Callithrix jacchus: one gene and its partner. The main gene of each other region encodes a partner of the protein of the gene in region 2 in a complex. Links are inferred from orthologs where the notes say so. Each region holds a gene or a part of one and is shown on either strand. Other genes may lie near its edges. The genes, in order: ITGB6 and ITGAV.

What was found.
Region 1: the proteins of ITGAV (region 2) and ITGB6 are in contact, whole or in part, in a crystal structure (PDB 9CZA), measured with the Homo sapiens proteins. The link is inferred for Callithrix jacchus from reciprocal best matches to the Homo sapiens genes ITGAV and ITGB6. Residues at the interface, in NP_002201.2 of Homo sapiens: Tyr48, Phe51, Lys72, Trp123, Leu141, His143, Gln150, Glu151, Arg152, Pro154, Asp178, Ala179, Phe184, Gln186, Phe189, Pro204, Tyr208, Trp209, Asp249, Tyr251, Tyr254, Pro274, Arg275, Arg278, Thr279, Met302, Ala303, Tyr305, Phe308, Pro328; in NP_000879.2 of Homo sapiens: Ser183, Pro184, Phe185, Lys187, Thr188, Thr189, Pro190, Ile236, Asp237, Thr238, Pro239, Asp273, Ser274, His275, Phe276, Gly277, Met278, Asp279, Lys281, Leu282, Ala283, Gly284, Val286, Pro288, Glu308, Thr311, Ile312, Gly313, Gln314, Ile316.

What each region holds. Positions count from the first base shown.
Region 1 is NC_133507.1:69,657,310-69,665,724, reverse strand, and holds part of ITGB6 (integrin beta-6), read right to left. Parts: intron 7,887-8,415; coding exon 7,807-7,886; intron 5,741-7,806; coding exon 5,536-5,740; intron 4,965-5,535; coding exon 4,718-4,964; intron 1-4,717. UniProt on the Homo sapiens protein: Integrin alpha-V:beta-6 (ITGAV:ITGB6) is a receptor for fibronectin and cytotactin. It recognizes the sequence R-G-D in its ligands. Internalization of integrin alpha-V/beta-6 via clathrin-mediated endocytosis promotes carcinoma cell invasion.
Region 2 is NC_133507.1:42,391,762-42,400,745, reverse strand, and holds the start of ITGAV (integrin alpha-V), read left to right. Parts: upstream 1-2,920; 5' UTR 2,921-3,223; coding exon 3,224-3,408; intron 3,409-8,984.

The DNA of each region.
Region 1 (8,415 bases), about 27 Mb from region 2:
TGTTCTTCCAAATATCCCCCTGCCTAGCACATTGCTTGGTACATAACTGGAACTCAGTAACGTTTTGTTGAACAAATGAATGAATAAATGAATGCATGAATAAGATACAGTCAGAGCTAAATAAATGAGCCAAGCTGCTTTCATTTACTGGAAGCCTGATTAAGGACAGAGTCTCATTGTTAGTTTAAGATGCTGGGCTGCCAGTTTAGTTGAGCCATTCAACAGTCTTAATTTTAGTTATATTCTCTGGTAACACTCCACACTCATTGGTTCTCATGGTTATTATTGTACAACATGCTGCTACTTCTTTGCTGATCTGTGACATGAAGAATGATTTTAAGTATACCCCCTGGGGCAGAGGTGGCACTTTGTAATTCTAGATGAAATTACCCTACTAAACTCTCTATGGAAGCTTATTGTAGGGGAAAGACACACAGTATACCAAAGAACTAAATACAAAGTGTATTTAGGTAGAATATTCTCTGATTTTATAAAGGGGACCAAAAGCATTAGCAATGCTTTTATGATAGGTATTTAAGAGGTTGTTAGCACCAATAACAATAATAACAATAATAATACCTTACTTTTTATTCTATAGCATTTTTGAGGGCACAGGTCTTTATAACTCTGAATAGAAATCTATGTATTCAGCATTGCAGGAACTGATCTTAGATGCCACCTTATTCTGTCTTCCCTCATGACAAAATGCTGATTTTGGAGGGGCAGGTGCTTCCTTTGTAGTTAACTGGTCATGTAACTAAGTGCCAGCCAATTGGATGCAAGTCTAAGGTATTGAGTAAAATTTGTGGCAAAACCCCTTAAGTTGGGAAATAAAATTTAACAACCGTTTATAATTTTTAAAAAAACCTACCAAGCAAGGAATAGAAGATAATTTTTTTGATCTGATGAAAGGAAATAAAAAACCACTAGCTAACAACATATGGTGAAACACTGATCCTTTCTCCCTAACATCATGAAGATGACTAGGTTGTCCTCTCCTACTACATTTATTTAAAAGAGTACTAGACACCCAAGCCAGTGCAATAAGGTCAGAAATAATAAAGAGGAAGCATAGACGTTGGAGAAAAAGAAGTTGTTATTCACAGATGACATGATCATATACACAGAAAATTCTAAGGAATCTATAAAAATCACACTAGAACTAAAGAGAAAATTAATATAAAGTTTGAAGGATACAAAGTGAGTATGTAAAATCAATTGTATTTCTACATGTTATCCAAAAGGAATTTGAAAATAAAAAATTTTAAATGTCCCTAGAAATAAGTAAAACAAAACATATGCAAGATATCTACCCTGAAAATGATAGAACTTTGTGCTGAGACATTAAACAAGATCTGAATGAACGAAGATATATGTCATGTAAAATGACTGGAAAATTCAATACGTGTCAGATGTTTAATATCCCCACAAATTGATCAATGGTTTCAATGTTGTCTCAATAAAAATCTCGGCATATTTTTTTGAAGAAATTGACAAGTTGATTCTAAAATTTATATGGAAATGTCAAGGATCTAGGATAAACAAAATGAAAGGACAAAGTTGGAGGACTTATGCTCCTGATTTCAAGACTGTCTATAAAGCTACAGTAAGGGAGGTAGTGGGGCATTAGTGGTCACATGGTTATATTCAATGGATCAATGAAACAGAATAGTGTCCAGAATTAGACTCACACATATGGTCAATTGCTTGTCAACAAAGACATTAAGATAACTCAATGTGGAAAGGAAAATCTTGTCTAACAAATAGTGCTTGAACAACTAGATATCTCTATGGAAACAAAAAAATCAACCTAGACATTTTTTTCTCATTCCAAATACAAAAACTAATTTGAGATCAGAAGCCTAAATGTAATCACATTAACCACAAAGCTTCTAGAAGAAAATATAGGTGGAGTCTTTGTGACCTTTACAGTAAGCAAAAATTTAATAGAACATAAAAAAACACTATAAAATTAAAAATTAATAAGTTGGACTTCATCAAAATTAAAAACTTTTGCTTGACCAAAGGCATTATAGAAAAATTAAAATACAAGCCGTAAAGTGGGAGATAATATTTTTGACAAATACATATATGTATATTTTTGGCAAAATGTATTTGACAAAAAACTTGTATCCAGCATATATAAAGTACTCTTAATGCACAATGTTGGAAAGATAGTCTAATCTTAGATTTCAAACGAAGCTTCACAAACTAAATAGGAATGGCAAATAAACACAGGAAAAGGTGCTCGACATCATTCATCATTAAGGAGATGCAAATTAAAGCTACAATGAGATACTACTGCACACCTATTAGAACGTCTAAAATTAAAAAAACTGACAACATCAAGTGTCAGTAAGGATGAAGAATATCTGGAACCTTGTCATACTGCTGATGGAAATGCAAAATGTACATTCGCTTTGGAAAACAATTTGGTAGTTTCTTTAAAAATTATACAGTTCAGCAATTCCAGTTTAGGTGTCTATTGTGAAGAGAAGTAAAAGCATACATCCATTCAAAGACTTCAGTGCAAGTGCTCACAGCAGCCTTTTCATAATAGCCCCCTAAAATAGAAACAACTCAAATGTTCTCCAATGAAAGAATGAGTAAACAAAATATAGTAAATAAATACAATGGATTGTTAACTGAAACGAAAAGAAGCAAACTCCTGATACATACAAAGTCATAGGTAAATCTTGAAAACATTATGTTGAACCAAAGAAGCCAAACACAGAGGGCATATACTACATTACATATTTATATAAAATTCAGGAATAGGTAAAACCAATATAAATTATCGACTTCGGAAAGCGGTTGCCTTTGAAGTGGTAGAACTGACTGTAATGGGAAATTTCTGAGGTGATGAAAATATTCTGCATCATGTTTTGGATACTGATTGCAATGGTATATTTAACCATCAAAACACATCAAACTAAACATTTTCCATCTGTGCATTTTAGGCATGTCAACTATACGTCACAAGGAATTGTGAGGAGTAGGCAGACAGTGTACTTATTGCCCCTATTTTCCTCCTTTCCTCCTGACTGAAATGAAGAAGTGATGATTAGTACCCCAGCACCATTCTTGGACCATGAAGATAAAATCCAAGTGTCAATAATGGTGAAACAGAGAGCAGAAAAAGGCCTGGATTCCTCATGTTTTTGAATCTGCCATACATCCCTGAATGGCCTTCCTCTGGTCCTTATATAAAAAAACAGAAGAAAATATTGGCTGGGCATAGTGGCTCATGCCTGTAATCCCAGCACTTTGGGAAGCTGAGGCAGGTGGATCACTTGAGGTCAGGAGTTTGAGAACAGCCTGGCCAACATAGTGAAACCCAGTCACTACTAAGACTACAAAAAATTAGCCGGGTGTGGTGGCAGGCGCCTGTAATCTCAGTTACTCAGGAGGCTGATGCAGAAAAATTGCTTGAACCCAGGAGGCAGAAATTGCAGTGAGCTGAGATCATGCCACTGCACTCCAGCCTGGGTGACAGAGTAAAACTCCATCTCAAAAACAAACAAACAAACAAACAAACAAACAAACAAACAAAAAACCTCCCTTTTTAAGCCACCATCACAGATATTTAAAACCAAACACAATTTTTAAGTGTTACAATCATTGAAAAGTTCCTTTTATGGTTAAATTATTTTTGATTATGTTAGATTGTAGTTGGGGGCTACATTGAGATTTTTTTAAATGGTATAATAAAAGCTATTTATCTTTTATAGAGATTGATGCTTTTGGTGTATAAAAGTATTATGTCAATAAACATTTGGAAAATTATTTCATATATATTAGATGTATAGTAGTAATGGGCTTGCTTTTGGGACAAATCGAATATGGGTACAGATCATGGGTTTGTCATGTGGCCTTGGGCAAATAGCTAACCTCTCAGAGCCTCTTATTTCTTCTGAGTATAGAGCTGGTGTTATTAAGCTTTAACCTGCTGTTATGAAGACTGAATGAGGTCATGTGTGTAAAACCTTCAGCACAAGGTCTGGCACAGAGCATATAGTAGCTCTTTTTCAATAGGAGAATATTAAATAGTTTGTTTCTGAACATGTCATTCACTTAACAGGTAAGCCATCACAAAGCAATTTGTCCTCCACCATCACCTGAATAATATGTGGTTTTAATAGCTTATTATAACATATTAGAATGGAGTCATTGCCTATGAAATCATTTACTACTGAATTTAATAGCTATGAAGGCTGCCCAGGCCTTCTCCAAGCAATAGGAGAAACAAATATTTCCCAAAGTACATCAGAGAAAGTTGCAAAAATTATTATTTTGCCAGAAGTCATTGTTGTGGAGAAACATTCTGGGAAAGTGAAGTTATTCTCCAATAACCTCAGAAAGTGGTGGCCACTGAGACTAGAAAGTGTGTGAAAGACTGGGCGAGGTGCCATCCAGCGGAGCCTATGGTGAAAGCCTTGGTCCCCTTGTCTGCATAACACACATTCTGGTTTGCTACAACCTGCCCTACACTGGAAGGCAGATGCAGAGGCTGCAAGAAGCCATGGCTAGAACCATGTAGTTCAGATGACCTCACCTCCACTCCAAGCAACCTAGGCACTGGAGAGAACTGCTGAGATCCAACCAGATGAAGCAGAAATGCCAGGGAGTTAGCAAGCTCCTGGCAAGTGCAGCTCAGAGCCGGGGTATCTCCACAAAAAATCAGTGCACGAAGATGCCAAGGGAATCATTTGCTTACCTGCAAGGGTTGGCAATTTCTTCTGGTGTTGTTTTCACAAAAGGGGATACAGGTTTTTCAACAAATGATCCGAAGCCCAGTCTAAAGTTGCTGGTTAATTTAGACATCTCCTTGGAAAGCCGGGATCCCAGCTCCTTGATTGTGTGGAGGTCATCATCCATGGAGGCGGAGAGGTCCATGAGGTAATACAAATCCACCGGATAGTCCTCGGTCTGGCGGACATGCACTTGCAGAGTCTGTGCACCACCTGCAAAGACCAATGGGAAAAGCAAACCCAGAAAAACACACTGAGATTCATTTGCAACTGGCCAGTTGCTGGGTCAGCTGGCTATTACACCTCAGTAAGAACTTACTGAAAGTCAAGGTCCTAAATGAACCAACCCATAAAAATTTTTCAGCAGGGAGTTTAGAACTACTGGAGGATAAGTTAGGATATTTTATATCTCCTTGGGAGAACTAGCATCCATTTAGATAGAAGATAAGCTGAATTTTTTGTGCTTCGTTTTAGAAAAGAGGCATCTAATAAAAGAGAGTTTAAATCTACATTACAACCCTTGAAGAGATGTGAGGTAAGCCTTAACAACATTTGAGTAATTTAAATGGTTACTATTAGAGAAGGCTTCTTTAGTAACACATTTGGAGTGCCAGGGACCAATGTGAATAAAGAAAAGTGTGAGCCTAGCAATTTTCTATTTCCTTAAGAATGGGAAATTCGAGGCATAATAATCAATGTAATACAATACAAGACACATTAGTGGAGTAGAAGAATTGCCATATATGACATCAGATCTATTTACATGAGCCAAATCCTAACATACCTGGTCTCAACTTCAGGATCAAGCTTTGAGGTGCAATCTGAACAATGTCAGAACTATTTTTCTGTGTGCCTACACTGAGAGGCTTATTTTTAAGTATTTCTACTTGTGAGACAGGGTTTTCGATGAAGTTTAATTGACATCCTTTAGCTAATAGGTTTGCTGGGGTATCACACCTTTCGCCAACTCCAGATGAGTGGGTAAAATTCTAAAAAAGAAAAAAGAAAATCAATAACTAGAAAAAGAAAACAAATCTGAATTTCTTATAAGATACCAGCAATTGAAAGTTTTTTATTATACATAGAAAGGAACAACCAGTATTAACCTTTCTAAAAATATACCAAAAAGTAAACAGCATCAACATAAAGAAGAATTTACATCAACGAATGGATAAAATAGCCAGTTAACATCAAATGGCAGTAACCCTAAATTTAAGTCGACTAAATCCCCCAATCAAAAGATACAGCCAAAACCTAACGGTATGCTACATCCAGACCCATTTCACATCCAAAGATACACAAAGACCTAAAACAAAGGGTTGGAGAAAGATCTACTAACCAAACGGAGAGCAAAAATAAATAAATAAATAAAAAGCAGGAGTTGCAATTCTTGCAGCTGATAAAATAGATTTCAAAGCAACAAAGATATAGTGGTAAAAGGATCAATGCAACAATAAGAGCTAACGATCCTAACACCCAGATACATAAGACTCATAAAGAGATTTAGACTCAATGAGATAGAAAATTAATAAGGATATCCAGGACTTGAACTCAGATCTGGAACAAGTAAACTCAATAAATATTTATAGAGCTCTCCATTTTAAATACACAAAATATACATTCTTCACCTTAAATACACAAAATATTCATCAGTCATTATTAATACCCATTTTTAGAATAAACCTACATTCCCGTTCTCTCTCCCTCTTTTTCTTCCTCTTTCTTCCTCTCCTTCACTCCTTTTTTTTCTTTCTTTCAAAAAAAAAAAAGTTTTTCTGCATATTTTGCTAGTTAAGCATCTTGCCATGTTGTATCCCTACATGACTAACATTGATTATATGTCTAACGTTAAGTTATAGGTGAATAACCAGAGAATTCTGCCAGTAAAATTCTGAGTAAAACTGGCATCTCCTTTTAATTATATTCAATAGAATTCACGTAACAGTCGCGTGTGTGCGTGCGTGCGCACGCGTGGCTTAAGCTCACTTCTTTAAAGCTTCTTCCCAGGCCACGACCAGTTCCTTGAAAGAGTGAGGTTCGTAGATTTTCCTTGTATATTTTCAATCCTGTTTTGATACAGGAACTCGAAAAAAGCATAATTCTCTTGGACTTTTGTTTGTGGCTGCATCGGTCAAGGCCGTGTTAGGGGAGTGAGCTGCGTTTGTGCTCTCTTGTCTGTGAGGCCACCCTTCATGGATAGACACTGAACTCGGAATTTGGGTTTCTACAGGTAGAGCCCAGTTCTGAGTTTGGTGTCGAGGTTTGTTTCTCTTTGAGCATGCTACTAAGCTCTCGCTGAACTTGGCATTCTAAACAATTTATGTTTAGATTATCTTTATGAGATCCAGTGGGTAGAGACTTGTTTTAAAATTCGGAGAGCTAATGCCTTTCTCACCATGAATCAATTAGACATCGCTCTCTAGTGTCTTAGGATGGCTTACTACATAGTCCCCAATCATCTTCATACTGCTTTCACATAGTTTTCTGTTTGACCAGATAAGGAGTGCCTATTTGGGACTTTTTCACTGGTGTGGTACAGAGTCACTGAATTTATGAAAATTTAATTTTTAAAAGATCTGGATAATGTCTGACCAGTAATATTTGCCTCAAACCTAGAACACATGCCTTAGAAGCTAGTAGTAGTTCAGAATGGATCCTGGTACCAGATGGAATACAACTAGAATATGAACATCAAATGTATGTTTAACTTTAGAAAATATCTCCTTGGTCTCTGATTATCCAGACAGCCTCCATATTTTACATGTAACCGGTTAGAAATGGCTTTACAATAAAAGAAGGAACCAGGTAAAATTAAAAATACCAAGTTAAGTATTTTCTCAGAATAATTTGACATCCACTCCTTCCATAAATTGTTTTTGAAAGTAATCACATGAATGCCATTTTGAGCCACCATTGCTCACCTTCTCCTTTCCCGATTTGTTTTACTCATGCAATTCCACAAAAAGCAAGACACAATCAGAACTATTGCTGAAGAAATTAACATGACTGTAACTGCAGACAAGTTTTAAAAACACGTTGAGGTCATTCGTTTTACCTCCTGAGCACACCAGGCACACTGAGGTCCAATGAGCAGGCAGTCTTCACAGGTTTCTGCACCTCCCAGGGCACAGCCACCTAGGTTTAGACCCAGCAAGATGCAGAAATTAAGTACACTTTCAGTCATTCCATTTGTCAGACTGATGGCTCTTACATTACTTGAACAAAACAACATCAAAGGTAATTTTAGTATGCAAGATCATTCCTCGAAACGTTAGCAAGTCACATAAAACTTTGTATTTTACATCTATCACATGTAAAATATGTGTACATATATTAAAAAGTATGTATGTCTTTCAAACCAAAATTACCATTCTCTTTTTTCTTAAAATGTGGAAGTTCACAAATATAGGATTATCCTATTTATTATTAGCCAATATTTGCCACTTTAATTTTTAAAAATTACTTGCATCCATTAAAAAATGCTTCTCTCTTAAATTAGGCATTTCTGTTTTTGAAATAAGTCCTCCTTTTTCTCTTTCAAGATTATTACTCTTAAGTGGAAGATCTTGTGGTAGAATAAAATAGAAAAGTTTCAAAAATGGTTATTACAATGGCACGAAATTCTATAGGGCAGTAATGCTATTTAATTATCCTCTTTAAAATG
Region 2 (8,984 bases):
CACCATTCTTGCATAGAATAAAACATTCTTTTCCCTCTCCCATGCACACAGTACCAGGTGCAATGTGAATTCTGAATCAGCACTGGCTGAATTGACATATTCGATAATACAATTTGAAGGCCACTGTGTGCGTGGCTGCTCAAGCATGGTCAGGCTTACAAAGAGATGCCAGCATTTATAACCCCAAGCTTCTGAAGGCACTGGGTTAGTCTGCTTCATAGTTTCCTAATTGAAATGTATATTTAATTTTTTTTTTTTTAGACAAAGTCTCACTCTGCCACTCAGGCTGGAGTGCAGTGGCCCACAATACCACAATACCTTGGTTCACTGCAGCCTCCACCTCCCAGGTTCAAGCAATTCTCCTGCCTCAGCCTCCTGAATAGAATGGGATTACAGGCACACACCACCACACCTGGCTAATTTTTGTATTTTTAGTAGAGATGGGGTTTCACCATGTTGGCCAGACTGGTCTTGAACTCCTGACTTCAGGTGATCCACCCAAGGACTCCCAAAGTACAGGGATTACAGGCACGAGTCACCCTGCCTGGCCTGTTGGCTTTTTTTTTTTTTTTTTTTTAACAAAAACAAAACAAATTCCTTGATTTTCAAGACTGCTCATTCGAAATAAACTCATAAGAAATGGCTCAATAATAAGTGCTTTTAGTAGCTGTTCGTAGTCCTATTGGGAGTGTACTGTTCACTCAAGTTTTGGTGGGACTACATGTACTGTCATTTCTTTGGCTTCTTCCTTTCCCTGGTCCTCTCACATTTCTTCACTCCACCCTGGTCTGTTGGACACGTGTCCTGGGATCAGAAGATGAGGAGTGGGAGACTTACTGGATCTATCTAGCCAGAGTTTAAACTCTTCTGTCTTCCTTTCCTGGATGGATTTCCAGGTAGACTGATTCTCATGTTTTAACATATAAAATACCCTTTGAGTTTATGCATACATATCTATAACCTCTTTGGTGTATTAGAAAAAAAGGCAAGAAATAAGGTGTATTTGGATTTATGTGTAAGGATTTGTGTAGGATTTCCTCTCTCAATCTAAAAGTACTTACTTTTAGAAAGATGCTGGATCATGCCTTGTAAAACATGCCAAAGGTTTTGCTGCATGTTTTTTAGTCAAATTTTAAAAAGGAAATATTTAATGTAACTTTTTTTTTTTTAGGCAGAGTCTTACTCTGTTGCCTGGGCTGGAGTGCAGTGGTGTTATCTCAGCTCACTGCAACCTCAGCCTCCTGGGTTCAAGCAATTGTCCTGCCTCCGCCTCCTGAGAAGCTGGGACTACAGGCACACGCCGCCACACCAGCCTCATTTTTTGTATTTTAGTAGAGATGGAGTTTCACTGTGCTGCCTAGGGTTGTCTTGAACTCCTGAGCTTAGGCAATCCGCCCACCTTGGCCTTCCAAAGTGCTAGGATTACAGGCATGAGCCACAGTGGTGGGCCTTTTTTTTTTTTTAAACACAAGGTCTTGTTCTGTCACTCAAGCTGGAGTGCAGTGACACACTCACGACTAACTGTAACCTGGAACTCCTGGCCCTAAGCGATCTAGCTGCCTTAGCCTCTGGCATAGCTAGGACTACAGGCATGCACCACACTCCCAGCTAGCTAATTTTAAATTTTTTTGTAAAGAAGAGGTCTCCATATGTTCCCCTGGAACTCCTGGCCTCAAGCAATCCTCCTGTCTCAGTCTCCCAAAGTGCTGAGATTACCACCATGAGCACCTGGGCCTGGTCCAATAAATACTGTAAATTCAAATTAGGCATTTCACTTCCATTTATATACATATCCCTTTATAGGATTATTTGATGGTTATTAATGTATATTGTCATTGAATTTTAATAGTTACTTTGGGAAAACAGAAATCACTGTTATAGTGCCTACTTGTAAGTTGTTAAGGTCCTCACAATGCACTTAATCTTATTCAACAGATTCTGTAGCACATGAAACACCTGAAATGTGGAAGAGTCACTTCTCTGTGCAGTTTGCTCATTTCATCTGGTATTCATTCATTGATTCAACATTTTATTGATGGATTACTATTTGCATGGCAAGGTGCTAGAAAATAGGAATACTAAGAAAAAGTCGACGTTCCTGTCCTGAAGGCCCTCTCTCAGTACAGTGTTGTCAAGGCTTGGTGGAATACACCAGTGGCAAACAAGCACAAGCGGCCTTATTTCACTGGTGTGCATTACTTCTTCCAGCCCTGAAATCAAGTCTATCCAAACGTCCTAAATCAACAAATGTTTTTTCGAAATCATACAACTGTAGCTAACAAACTAGGAGTAAGGCTTCGGTTATTCTGACTTGATTTTAAACCATCATTGCCCATTCTTTGCCCTGCCAATCCTTTCTTTGACTACTGAAGTTAAGCTTTACACATCTCACTTGCAAGAGGCTATGCTGCTATTCTGGAAATCTGAAATTAAGTTCAGTGTTTGTGTGTGGGGTGGAGTGTAATTAACGACCATTGATTACAGAGTTTCCTTCGTGAGAGCCTGCCAGGCTAAGCAGCAGAAACACGAGAAGCGGATAAAAAGTTTTCCTCATTTTTCAACAAAAGTCGCACGGGAGTTTCCGGCGGGACAAGGGCACGTGGCCGGCTCTTGCTACTCCCGTGAACGCGGCTGGATTGGGACGCTGGATCGTGACACCCCTCCCCCCGCCCCCCGGTCCCCAGTCTGAGGCCTTCGTCCAGAAGCTGAGCCGCTGACCCAGGCTCAGGAGCTGGGAGCCCCGGCACAAGCTCCCGGGCCTCGGGACAGGCGGGGACCGCACGCACGGAAGGGCGCTGGGCTCTCTCGGGTGGAAGGCGCCTCTGCTTCCCCACTTCCTCCTCCAGCTCCGCGGCACCGCCTCCCGGGCGGCTCCTCCTCCTTCCAGTCTCCTCCCTGTCCCGCCGCGGCTCCCGGGCCCGAGGTGCGGCGCTCCCTCGGCAGTCCCCAGCCTCGGACGCTGCGTGGAGCGGCGGAGGGGAGAGAAGCGAGGGGCCGCCTGCGCTGCTGTCCCTGCCCCGTGCGCTCTGCGCCCCTCTTCCCTGTCGGTCGCTCCGAGGCTCAGACCTCCTGCCTCGCTCGGCGCGGTCCGGGGCTCGCCGAGAAGAGAGCGGCTGGCAAGTTTGGGCGCGCGCAGGCGGCGGGCCGTGGGCACCGGGCGCTTCGGTGGGGCGCGGGGAGGTGACCGCCGCTCCGGGCTCGGCGTCCCGCGCGCACTTCGGCGATGGCTTCGCCGCCGCGGCGACGGCTGCGCCTCGGTCCCCGCGGCCTCCTGCGTCTCCTCTCGGGACTCCTGCTACCTCTTTGCCGCGCCTTCAACCTAGATGTGGACAGTCCTGCGGAGTACTACGGCCCCGAGGGAAGCTACTTCGGCTTCGCGGTGGATTTCTTCGCGCCCAGCGCGTCTTCGTAAGTGGCCGCACTTGGAGCCGGAGCCGGCCCCCTCCCCCACCGCTTGCACCCACCCCGCTTTTCTCCCCTGGGATTGATTTCGGAGAGATCCCGGGGTCTATCCTACCTATCCAACCCCCTCAGAGTGGTTTATGTCCTGGGTGAAGGAAATATTTGGGAAGATGAACTCCCCTCGGTACCCATCACCTAGTTACACCCCACTCCTCACCTCTTAAAAGTGATTAGGGGCAGCGGGAAAGTTTTAAAGCGGACCTGTGCTCAAAATTCAGAGAAAGTGGGAAATCAACAAAGGCTGGTCTTGCCGGACTCCCCGCCTCCTGTGCCATTGTCGAGGATTTGCAGTGAGGCTCTTGGTAGCTTTTTTCTGCTTCTCAGACTTAACGCCGGTCCTTTTCATTCTCCCTCAGCAAGCCCTCCCCCACTCTTTCTGCCTCTGTCTGAGTTTGTTTCTTCTCACTCCTTTTGCAAACATTCTGATGACTTAAAATTACCATATTGCCCCACGGAATTCATTGTGTCTTATCTCTGGGACTGTCAAACATTTGCACATTTGAGGTTGAACAGATGAATTAAATGTGTCATCTGTTCTTTTTATAGTGATTCACTATTTAGGTCATTGTTCAGACGGAACAAGGGTGTTTGCTGAGTTTTCACTCACTGCAGGTCATTAGAATACTGCAACATTTAATAATTCAGTTATGTTTTCAATTTGCCAACGTTCCGCGTTGCAGGGACCTTCAGATTTGTGGCAGTTATTGTCATTATTGTCACTGTCTCCGACTTTACTGAATGCTGACGTCATTACCACCATTCCACCCCCATATTAGCATAAGGAATACTGTTTTAATGAGTGTTCACTGGTTGTTTTATGATGTTTAAATCTTATTTTCAAAAGAGAAACTGTTCTTAAGGTGGCATCTAAATGCTTAGAAATTGTAACAACACATTTTTGTTTCCATATTTGCTGTATAAGATATCCCTTCGGGGTGAGGTGGAGGGTAATCTTGACGGTTAGTACTTGGATAGGACCATTTTCCACTACATACATGCCTAATTTGAGGATGGTCTCGTTTTTCTGTGACTGTTAGAACAGCAGAATTTAGCCTTAGTGTTTTTCTGAATGTTGCTGAGTATCATTCATTTTGATAACAACCTTTGCAGCAACGCATAGATTGGATGCAGTGAATGGAAACTTTGTTAGTGGAGACATTATTTTATGTAGCAGGCTTAGTTTTCATTTGTTGTCAGCAGTTAGAGTGCTTTCTGTGAGACCTGGGACACAGATTTTCCAAAATGATAAAAATAATCATTAACTTTGGCAACATTTACCGATTTCACATTCCATTTAGTCATTTTAGTCCGCGTTACCTTTTTATTTGTTACTGTTTTTAACCACGGGGCAAATACCAAACATTATCTTTAAACATTTTTGTTTCCAGATGCTTTCAAGTGTATACCTTTATGATACAGAACATTTTAGTTGCTCCCAAGGGTTCAATTTTAGATTTAATTTGTACAGAAATTCTAATGATTTTGAAAATATATGTCTTTTGTCAAAGATTAGCATTTAAATACTTCAGGCCAGAGGCAGTGGCTCATGCCTATAATCCCAGCTCTTTGGGAGGCCAGGGCAGGTGGATTGCCTGAGCTCAGGAGTTTGAGACCAACCTGGGCCACACGGTGAAATCCCATCACTACAAAGAAATACAAAAATTAGTTGGGTGTGGTGGTGCACACCTATAATCCCAGCTCTTCGGGAGGCTGACATGGGGAATTGCTTGGAAGGTGGAGGTTTCAATGAGTGGAGACTGTGCCACTACACTCTGGCCTGGGTGACAGAGAGAGAACTCTGTCTCAGAAACAAAACAAAAACAAAAAACAAAATAACAAAAAACTTTAAAGTTGATGCAGTGTTTTACAAATGTTACTGTTAATTCTTCAGCAATACTCTGAGTTTAGTGTAAGATGAAGAGAAGCTGATAAACTTTAAGTGGGTTTTCTTAATGGAAAATGCAGTAATGTTGAACTATTTATATTTGTTATTTCTGATTACAAGCCAGGGTGACTACTTTGGCCAGTCATTACAATCAGTGAATATGTTATGACCTCACAGGTTTCCATGACTTCACTCATAGACCTTAAGTGGTAAGGTAAAATTGAACTTGGGTTTGATTTCATATCATATTTTGAAATATTCATCAGCAACTTTGTTACTGATAGACTAGAGAGCTCTAGGTATAGGTAAGTTAAACAGTGGAAACCAATCTTGAGTTTTGTTGTTGTTGTTGTTTTAAAGTATATAAACAAATGTTTTTACTTACTGAGCTTTTCAGATTTAACAAAGATTTATGTAAAATTACGCTGAATTTTCTAAAAGGGCAAATGTTTTTTTTACTTACTGAGCTTTTCAGATTTAACAAAGATTTATGTAAAATTACGCTGAATTTTCTAAAAGGGCAAATGTTTTTACTTACTCAGCTTTTCAGATTTAACAAAGATTTATGTAAAATTACGCTGAATTTTCTAAAAGGGCACTTTATATTTAACAAGCATTGGAATCCAAGGTACATGGGATGCCATTTCCAATATGAATTTATTGTTATTTGGTATTATCATAAACTTCCAAAAGAAAAAAAGCCACATAATGAAAAAGTATTTGTCAATTAAAGGGCACCTTTCTTTCTTTCTTTTCTTTCTTTTTTGAGACAGAGTTTCGCTCTTGTTACCCAGGCTAGAGTGCAATGGCGCCATCTCAGCTCACCACAACCTCCACCTCCTGGGTTCAGGCAATTCTCCTGCCTCAGCCTCCTGTCTTTTTTTTTTTTTTTTTGAGTTGGAGCTTCACTCTTGTTTCCCAGGCTGGAGTGTAATGGCACGATCTTGGCTCACCGCAACCTCCACCTCCTGGGTTCAAGCAATTCTCCTGCCTCAGCCTCCCCAGTAGCTGGGACTACAGGTGCGCAAAGGGTGCCTTTCTTCTAAGGGGAGAAGATTTGTGAGGAGGCAATGGTTACTACGTCCACTTCTGTTGCCTTTTCCAGTTTCAGTGTCCGCATTCCTTGAAGAAGCTGTAGAATTATTTTATGACCATTTTTTTCTTTATAGAAAATTATTATTGAATTATTTTCATAGTTTTGTTGTAAAAATTATTTATGAAAGAGAAGGACAAATAAAGTTCTAAGTAAAATGTTAAGGTTGCCCCTGAAAAAAATCGCTCCAGAAATGAGTCAGGTTTGAAGTCAAAATTCGCAAAAACAGTGATTTTCAAAATTATGAAAAATAAAACATTCACATTCTTTTTTTCTGTAAGCGTTTATTTATACTACGTTGTAACACTTACATGAAATCCAAAGGTTGGATGCGGGCCAGTAATGAACGTCATACTTTTTTTGTGGAAACTAATTGGAAAAATTAAAAATTGCATCCTAGGTTTAATTATAGTGACATCTTATTTTAGTAAGCATTTTATAATTCGCTAAGCACTTATATCTCATTTTATACTATAGCCAAAACCATCAGGGTGAGTAACGGGAAGCAGATATACTCATTCTTACAGATGAGGAAATAGAGGCGGAAGAGTTTGCAGTCTAGTTATTTGAGTAGGTTGGTGTGAGTAGAGGGTAAGGAAGGGAGGGCTCAGAAGGCCAGGGTGTGAAATCCAATACCACTTTTTTTTATTCAAATATTGAAATTTTGAACAAAATAACTTTAAAAATTTATTCTTCAAGTATATGTTATACAGTTCTCATTTTATTTATTTGTTTTAAAATAATACTAAAATGAATAGTACTGGATTCTTGCCTCCTCTGCCCCCATTAAACACTAATGGAGCCTTATCTTACAGTTGACAACTTTTGTAGAGGTGTGTGCCTTAGAAGCAGAAGATCCTTCAGTGGATCTCATTCCTAACTTCATGGTTGCAATACCTGGAAAGTCTTTTAAATAAAACTCCTGCCCTGGCTGTATCTTAAATCTAAAAGTAGATCGCTGACTTGATATTCCAGTGGTCTAGCCTGTGAATCATTTCTCGTTGACTAGCCTGTCTTAATTCAATTTGACTGCAAATGAACTCTTCACTAAAATATGTCAGTTGCACCTCTGTTTCTGTTAATGGAGGCATCCTTTTCTCTGTTACCCTGGAAATAATTTCATTTTCCTCCTCTCATTTTCTATTTTTCTGTACCTTTCCTACTTTGTCACTTTGATATCAGTCAGTGATTAGTCAGCAGGCAGAAGATCCTAGAAATTCTTCCTTTGTAAGATTTCTTGATTCCATGTCTGCTTTCTACTCCTCATTTCAGTATAGGTATGACAAGCATGGTCAGTGGCACTCAGGGCTCCCCCCATCCCTTTGCCCATCATTTGGCTAACCTGCAAAACATCTTATTTGTTTCTACTTGTTTTATCTTTCTGTAACACCCCTTTTCATCCTGGTATTCTGTTGCAAAAATTTTCATAACAATGCTTCCATTGCTAGAGAGAAGGTCCTAACTGCTTAACCTGGATTAAGGTCACTTGCAATCTGTCCCAACCTGTGTGTGTTTTTAAAACTTCATGTTCTGTTTCTCCTCTTACCATTTTAACTGTTTTCACAACACTTTACAAAATGATGCCAGCTCGTTTTTATAAACTTTAGAGTAGTTCTGGTTATACTGGTTGATTTTTCTCATCATAAATAAGATACATATATAATAGGGGACAGAAATTTGTCTATAATTTTATTATTTAGAAAGCAAATCCAATATTGATTACTTCCATTAAGGACTATATGTGTTTCATAGAGCATTATGAAAGACAAGGGAAAATGTATGAAAATTGTAGTTACTGCTTCTGCTTTATATCATGTAGTTGTTAACTGGCATTTTTATATTTTTCTTTTGATTCAAAGGAGAATTTTTTTAAAAAAATGAAAAGTAAATCTGAAACTGGAATTGTAGCCTTGGAATAACATTCAGTACTATTTCATACACATTTATTTCTATATACATGTGTGATAGTTCTTCACAAGTTCCTTTTGGTGAAGGCTCATTGGTCAACTCAAAGTCAGCTAAATATATTAAACATAATTTATCTTAGAAAGGTCAGTGCTGAAAGCAGCCAAACAACTTAGTTTATTTGGAGGGTTTGAAAAATGGGCTTGTCATTGTTTGGCTGGTTGCCCCTCCTTGGTTGTCAAGGTTGCATTCCCTGAATCAACTACCCTTCAAGTACACTTTGGATAGGGAGTGCATCCCAAGGGCATCCTCCTGATTGGTTTCTTAGAGCCCTTGTCTGTCTTTCTCTCACTTCCTCCTCTGATGCCTCTCCCTCCCTATCTCTGTCTCTTTTCTCCTTTTTTTGTCTCTTGTCTTTCCTGTCTCTTTCCTTTCTTCTGTCTCTTTTCCTCCTTCCTGTCCATCTTTCTGTCCCCTCTTCCAAACTCAATCCTTTATATTTTAGCACTTCTTGGCATGGATGTAAACCTTAATTTTGAAGTTTTTTATTTAATGATAAAGAGTTATTTAATGACAGCACTTCCAGTCATTAGAATTTTGAAGTTTTTTATTTAATGACAAAGAGTTATTTAATGACAG